2 linked regions of the Caenorhabditis elegans genome follow. The protein of the gene in region 1 interacts with the protein of each later gene in a pairwise test. Each region holds a gene or a part of one and is shown in the gene's direction. Other genes may lie near its edges.

What was found.
Region 2: the proteins of C06E1.1 (region 1) and wdfy-2 interact in binary tests that used the Caenorhabditis elegans proteins (3 or more experiments, as listed by UniProt).

The regions. Positions count from the first base shown.
Region 1 is NC_003281.10:8,604,032-8,607,167, forward strand, and holds C06E1.1 (HVA22/TB2/DP1 family protein), read left to right. Parts: upstream 1-1,800; 5' UTR 1,801-1,812; coding exon 1,813-1,938; intron 1,939-1,982; coding exon 1,983-2,093; intron 2,094-2,146; coding exon 2,147-2,395; 3' UTR 2,396-2,567; downstream 2,568-3,136. Other genes in the region: C06E1.9 (ASCC2 family CUE domain-containing protein), read right to left, coding at 2,568-2,814, 2,890-3,136.
Region 2 is NC_003280.10:9,317,987-9,322,555, forward strand, and holds wdfy-2 (WD repeat and FYVE domain-containing protein 2), read left to right. Parts: upstream 1-1,878; 5' UTR 1,879-1,891; coding exon 1,892-1,955; intron 1,956-2,026; coding exon 2,027-2,228; intron 2,229-2,283; coding exon 2,284-2,630; intron 2,631-2,801; coding exon 2,802-2,919; intron 2,920-3,039; coding exon 3,040-3,399; intron 3,400-3,445; coding exon 3,446-3,602; 3' UTR 3,603-3,892; downstream 3,893-4,569. Other genes in the region: csa-1 (WD_REPEATS_REGION domain-containing protein), read right to left, coding at 1-131, 187-378, 607-840, 885-971, 1,016-1,162, 1,443-1,486; Ras-related protein rab-39, read right to left, coding at 4,082-4,225, 4,275-4,388, 4,439-4,569. UniProt on the Caenorhabditis elegans protein: Plays a role in coelomocyte endocytosis.

The DNA.
Region 1 (3,136 bases):
TTGTAGCGAAAACGTATGTATATTGATGTTGGTTTGGAGGTAATACGTCGGGATTTTGACAGAATATTGTATTTGAAAAACGGGCAAATAAACGGGATTTGATCTGAATTCATTTGACTATAAACTCCAAATCTCAAAAAACGGATGACACAATTGGATACGTCACATAATTGTGATCATGCAAAAGGGAATGATTTTGGGGTTATAGATAGTTTTATTGAAATATTAGCTTTGTAGATAATTAACATGTGAAATTTGATTCAAAATTCTACAAAAGATTACTGTAGATTGAAGAATCGAATTTTCGAGTTATTTCCAGGATTCATATTGTCCCCCTGTGATTTGTGCCCCTGTAATTGCAGTATGTTTATCAAATGATTCTGTTCGCTATAGATATTGTAATTTTTCGCTGTTCACCAATCTAACCAACTATTTAAAAAATTCAGACACCATCTTCCTTGGTGTTAAATTTCTAATGGAGAAGGCAATTCCAACCGAGATATCAGCTGTTTGAGTTTTGTGCAAGCATGGTGCATAGACAAGAAAGAATGGTATAAATTTGGCAACTGAAATGCCGGTTCAATTTAAAAATTTCAGTAAATTTCAAACTGCTATTTCATAGAACTGAAATGCCGGTTCAATTTAAAAATTTCAGTAAATTTCAAACTGCTATTTCATAGAAAAAAGCATAAATCGTTTGAAATAGTTTGATAGTTGACAATTTTTGAGAAAACTTTTTTTTTTTAATAAAGATGGTCAATATATCAGTTGTCAAAGTTGAGAGAAACATGGTGCATCGACAAGAATGCAACAAACAAACTCTGGAAGCGTTTATTTCAGTTCACTACATAGTTTTTATGAAACTTTTTTGAGTAACATATTTTGAAAAACATGTCTTCTTTTTAATATAATGTTTTGTCAGAACTGGAATATTCCAGTGTTCTTCTCTTTTTTGCACATCTTTCAGGCATTCCAAGTAGGTACAAAGACAGACCTATGCCGGAGCTATTTGGTAGGCAGTGACGTAGACAAGCGGTCTCTCTCTTCGTTCGTATCGATACCAATCGATACGGTCCCTCTATAATCCGTCTGTGCATCATTTGCTCTATATAATTGAGTGAGATAGTACTGTAGATTAAGAGAGTGCAGTGCTCAGGTGAAAACGTTCCATCTGCTCCTCTCTTGTATGTTGCAAATGGCAGAAATATGCTCATTTCTTTGTTTTGTTGTTCGTCTTTGCGAGCTAGAACCGATATATTTCTGGAAACATTTATACATTTACATTTGGAAAATAAGTTTAATTTTTGAAAGTTTCCATTAAAGCTTATCGGCTTTATGATAAAATCTCAACTTATCGAAAACTAATTGTATGACTCATACGATATCTAAAACAAATAGAAAACGAGAGTCTTTGCTGTCCTACCACCCAGCAAACTTTCCATCAAAATAACGAAAACTGACCATGACTTTTTTGAAGAAAAAAAGTAATCGGTTTTTAAATAGTTTCGCAATTTCTCACCGACTAATCATTATTGCATGCATAATTTTATAAAAAGCCACGATTTGCAATTGATTCTCATCTTTGCCGTCTTTTGTTCCTCACTTTTCCATCCCTTTTTATTATTTTATCGTTCGTTTTGTTTTTCGCCTCGCTTTATGTGACTTTAATATTTTCACATTTCATCGTTTCCTCTCTTTTTAACTTCCTTCTTGATATTTGATCAGTCTTTTCTTATTATGTAATCTTCGAAAATGTTGAATAGTTCGGTAGAGCGCGACTTCCCACATTACATAATTTCCAGATATTCAAAAATGGCGACAATTATTGCAAAAATCGAGTCAAAAATCAACGAGTATTTGAAAGCAAGAAACAAGGAAGACTGGAAAGAAAAGACTTTCACTCAAGCTGAAAAGTTTTCTGGAATTCCAAGAGAAAGAGTAGGTTATATAATGTCTTAATTAAAAACAATATTTGTTTTCAGATCGTCTCAATGGCATTCCTGATGCTTTCCATCTACGTTCTTCTCGGCAACTTCCTCCCACTCTTCTCTCATATCATTTGCATCTTCTGGCCAGTCAAAGAGAGCTTCATGGTAAATTTCAACTATCTTCATTTTCATTAGAAATCAACTGAACACTCTTACAGATCCTCCGCCAACAGAAGAATCCATCAGACAACATTCTCCTCTATTGGATTCTCTATGCAATGGTTTCACTTTTTGACTATTCTGCTCTTCCTGGAGTCCCATTCTATTACTTCGCTAAAACCGGGCTCTTCCTCTCGATCACCACAAATGGCTTCGATAAACTCAAGGAATGGTCTGAGCCAGCTCTGAAATTCACCGAAACATGGGTTCTGGTGACTCCACCGCCGCCTGGAGAGGAGGAAAACTGAGCTCTCTGAATTTATGGAAATTTACGGAACTGACACTTTGACACGCACGGGATTTTTTTTTGAACATGTTTTTTTTTAAACTGATATAATTTATTTATCACCCAGCCAAATTTACACCGAATTGTATTGCTATCACAAGTGTAAAGAAATCATTGGTTTGTAAATCGAATTCTCAATAAACTCCTCGTTTCTTTCTATCAGCTCCACGTTGCTTGATATCCGACTTGTGTTTCTCTTTCATTTGACGATCATGTCCTCCAGTATATCCATCTGCAGATGGGGCTCCACCACGATTGCCACCTCGGGCTCCACGACCTCCACGTCCACCACGGGATCCTTGATATGGAGGTGGTTGAGATAAACCAGGTGGTGCAGAAGATCCAGCTTCATCCTCTTCTGACGATGTTTCTAGTTCTTGGCTGAAATTAATATTCTCATGATTTTAATTTAAAAGTTGCAGTGCAATATGAATTTAAATCTGACCAAAAACTAACTTTAATCTTTCAATATTGAATTCTCTTCCATCAAACTCATCATCGTATTCATCATCATAAACTCCATTTCCTCCATCATTCGGGGTCTCGTAACGATACTTATTATATGTTGGCCGAATTGCCACTTTATCTGCTTCACTGATTTTTAAGGAGTTCAATGCCGAATACTTTTTCGAAGTCGCAAGAGGAACAAGATTCTCAGCATCAACAGCAATTTTTTCAGAAGGCGATGAGGGTCCAGCAGCAT
Region 2 (4,569 bases), on another chromosome or scaffold:
TTGGACGACGCTGCATAAGTGGATCGAATTCACAGGAAAAATCAAATTTTGTGCTGAAATCCCACGTATCTGCCACATGAATGTACCCCGATCTATCGGCAGAGATGAGACGATGTCCATCGGCAGATATTCTGGAATTTATGAGATTTAGAATACCTTCAATTTAAAGTTTTGAAAATAAAGTACTTTAGTCCATAAATTTGTGATTTGTGAAGAGATTTCTCAGCAATTGCTCCACGTGTGCTCCGAATATCAAATAGTCCAATTGTTCCATCTCGTCGTCCTGCATATAAGTAATGATGTTTTGATGGATACCACTGTACAACATCAATTGGTTCATCATTCCAATATATCGATTGAGGTAGATCCATTCCGACTCTGAAATGATATTTATTTTGAAATATAAAATGTTAATTAATTTTAATTAAATTTTAAATTTTGAAATAATTCATAAAAATTTAAGACAAGAGGTTCGACCAGGGGAAATTGTAAGACCAAAGTTTTAGAAAGTTAGGCAGTCATAACAAAATATAGCTCTTGTTCAATACAAGATCCACTAGCCTTCAGGCACGTAGGCAGGCATTTCGTGGAACTTTTAAAGCTTACCTAAAATCTATAATTTTCATTGATCTCCCTCCATCTGCCACGGCAACTTTTGAATTTGTCATATTATACTCATTCCAATCAAAATAAACATCTCCTTCAAATTGTTTCCCATGAACCACTTTTTCCATGGTACTATCACAAACTCGCATCCAATTTGATGCTGTTGTAACCATGAAAAGGCGAAGATCGATTGGACACCATTTTATTGTTTTCAGAGATTGCTTCGCAAGTTTTCTGAAATCTTGATAAATTTTAGAATTATTGCGGTTGTTACATACAGAGTCATAGGTTTCTTCCACTTTTTACGATCCAAGTATTTATATTTGGCAACTGACACTGAACCACTATGAGATCCAAATAGTAGCCTGAAAAATCAATTTTTTTTAAACAAACTCCTAATTAAACCAACATTTGGTCACCATCATCTATATCAATCGCACTAATATCTTCTTGATGGCCTTTCCCCGTCTGATCACAACCCATAGGAATATGTTTTGTCCATCGAAAATTCAAAAGAGCCCGTGAAACTTGTTGTTCTTCGAAAACTCGGCGTTTTCTGCAAAAAATTTCAAATATAACTCAAATTTTAAAAAAAATTAGTACAGTAAGAAAATCTAGGCCTGTAAATTCATAAAAGTTTAAAGTCGTTGCGGGACCCGTCTGGTTTTCTGACTCTTGCGCCTTGAAAAAATTGCGGTACTGTCATTTATTTTCTTTATTTGCGCATTTTAACATTAAATTTCTCTATTTTTCTCGTTTGTTTTAAATTTTAATTATGCATTTGCACTTTTTTTTCAAAATTATTACGAAATTCACATAAAAACCGCAAAACTCACTTCAAATCACAGCTGAACATGTACTCCTCGTGACGAACAGTCATTTTCCTGTTGAGAAATTATAGAAACATGCGAATAAATATATTACGATTAAATAAAAAGCTCAAACGTTGCTGTTAATTTGAATATCCTCCTTAAAACAGCCAATGGCCTAGAGTCCACCAAACAAGTTCATTCTCGGCCGCACCGGTTTTCCGTTATTTACCGGGCACTGATTCATCTGTTTCCAGACCGGTTGCAAAATTAGTTTGATAAAAATTTCAATTTCCACAAGGAAATATTTAGTTCAGAAATAGTAACAAAAGTAAAAAAGGTGCAGAAGTGTAAACAAACGGGCGAGAACACGTGGTTTTATCGATTTTTGCTTTAAACATCTGCATTCCGTCCTCTAAACTTTATGTGTCATTTATTGGCATTCAATTTGATTTTCTTTCAGATTTTCAGCCATTATGGCTGCAATAATCAATCAACGCGTCGAACAGGGCGAATCAAGTATGGGAGGAGCCAAACCAGGTTGGTGAATTGAAAACGAACCATTTGATTTCCATAACCTGTGTAATTTTCGAATTTATTTTAATTTTCAGCTCTTCTTCACAGAATCACTGGCCACGTGGCTCGTATCAATGACGTCATTTTACTATCAAAAGACGAAGGAGTCTGGACTGCAAGTGATGATAGATCCGTTCGCCTGTACTTAAAAAGAGATAATGATCAATTTTGGCCGTCAATTCATCATTTCATGCCAGTTGCTCCAACAAGTCTTTATTACAGTGAAGAAACTTATAAGTTAGTTTAAAGTTTAAATCGTTTTATTTTTTAAATTTTTAATTTTTTTATTCAGGCTGCTCGTCGGACTTATCAATGGAAATGTCTATGAATTCAGTGTTGCCGATGACTTTAACAGTATGACAGAATCCCGAAAATGGACATGTCACGCTGGACCAATCTCTGGACTCGGCTTTGCACTCTCCTCCGAGCTCATTTTCAGCTGTTCTCGAGATAAATCTATCGTCTGGCATTGTTCAGAAAATTCAAATAAGATGGGAAGTTATCTTTTGGAAAATAGTTGTACAGCAATGGTCATTGATCTTCCATTTGTATTCGTTGGAGATCATGGTGGGCATGTCACTGTTCTTCGTATTGTCGATAATCAACCAAATCTTGTCAGCAAGCTTAGTGCACATACGAGTGAGTTTTTATCGTATTCTTTTTTTTTGAGTAAAATATTAATTCGAAATTTTAAATGCTATCGTGCCTAGGAAAAATATTTGTTAAGTATAACATTCCAGTATTTCCTGAAATTCCCCACAATCAATACAATTAGTAATTGTGGTTTGAATTAGTTCAATGATTTTTCAGATGCAATCACCTCGCTCACATGGGACGGAAATAAGAAAGTTTTGTATTCTGGAAGCAGTGATCATCTCATCATAATGTGGGATATCGGAGGAGGAAGAGGAGAAGCTTATGAGCTTAAGTGAGTGTATATTTCTGGAATTTACGTGATATTTCGAAAGTGTTGATGTTTTTCGAGCGCAAAAGTTGAATTATATTTAGTTGAAATAGATTTTTCCAAATTAAAAAATGTTTTTTTCAGCGGACACAATGGAAAAGTGACAACACTATGCGCAGCTCCAGCAGCCAAACGTCTGTTCTCGGCTGACGAACACGGAAAGCTCATGTGCTGGGACATGAATTGCAAGAGAGTTGAGACTCCTGAATGGAAAACTTCGGATTGCTGTCAGAAATGCAATCAACCGTTCTTCTGGAATCTTCAAGCAATGTGGCAGAGGAAAGTGGTCGGATTGAGACAACATCACTGCAGAACCTGTGGATCAGCAGTCTGTGGATCTTGCTGTGACAACTGGACCACCTATCCACCAATGGGATATGAGACGAAAATTCGCATTTGTAATGACTGCAATGCACGAATGAAAGATAATCCACAGAATTTCAAGTAAGTTGTAAAGCAAATGACTGATGAAACTTATTTTCAATTTTAGCCTTACTCCACTTGCAATTCCACATGAAATCCATACTGGAATCACTGCTATGCATCTCCAGGAAACTCTCGGACTTCTAGTTACCAGTGGACAGAATCGTGTGATTATGATTTGGGATGTTCGAAGTGTTTGCTCTGCCCCTTCTGGATCACAATAAACAATTGCTTCTACTTCTCGAATTTCTCATAATTCTTTGTATTTCATCTAATTTATTTCCTCTCCTTTCTATTTTGTATATTCACTCTCAAAATGCCCATCCTTCCCCAAGACCAATTGTTGTCAAATCAAGACCTTCTAAAACTTACCAATATTTCCCGATACCCCTGACAGGTTGTCCTGAATAGTGATTGTGATTCTTACTTTTCTTCTAATCCCGATAATTTCCTAGTTTTTCGACTGTAAAATTGTATTTTTACAACAAAGTTTGAAAAAAAATCTTTTTTTTTGAAGTTTTTGGACAGAACGACTAGAAATTATTTCAAAAGAATGCATGCCGGGAGAGTAGGTGAGGTTGGTGACACTGGATGAAGGAGAAAGCTCACAGGAAGTACACAAAATAGCTGAGTTTTTGATGTTTATAAGAACGCTACGCGAAATTATGACTACGGGGAAAATTAAAAAATTGAGGAGAAATTATCAACATCCGCAAGCTCCTGCGCTGCTGTTTTGAGGGAAACTTCTTTCGGATAGGCACACGGATTGTGACCTCATAATACCAGTTTTAAGGCCTTCCCAGCCATCCACGGGCCGCAGTTCTCCGTCGTCGACTCGATTTTGAATCTAAAAATTTGAAAATTACATCATAAAATTGAAACATTTTCAAAAAAACCTCTTGTGCAATCATATGAAAAGCTTCATTAACATTGTCTCCTGTTCTCGACGACGTCTCGATAAACTTCATTTTATGGTACTTGGCAAAGTACTCGCCTTCCTCATAGTTTACCTGAAAGCTTTTAACCAATTTTTTAAACACAACTTTTGTTCAAAAATTACCTGTCGCTGTGAATCCATATCACTTTTTGTTCCGACTAATTGGAAGACACACTTCGATGGGCTTGGACCACCCAAATTTAATGCTGCTTCTTTAACCCAATTTTCAACATGCTCAAAACTTTCTCGATTCG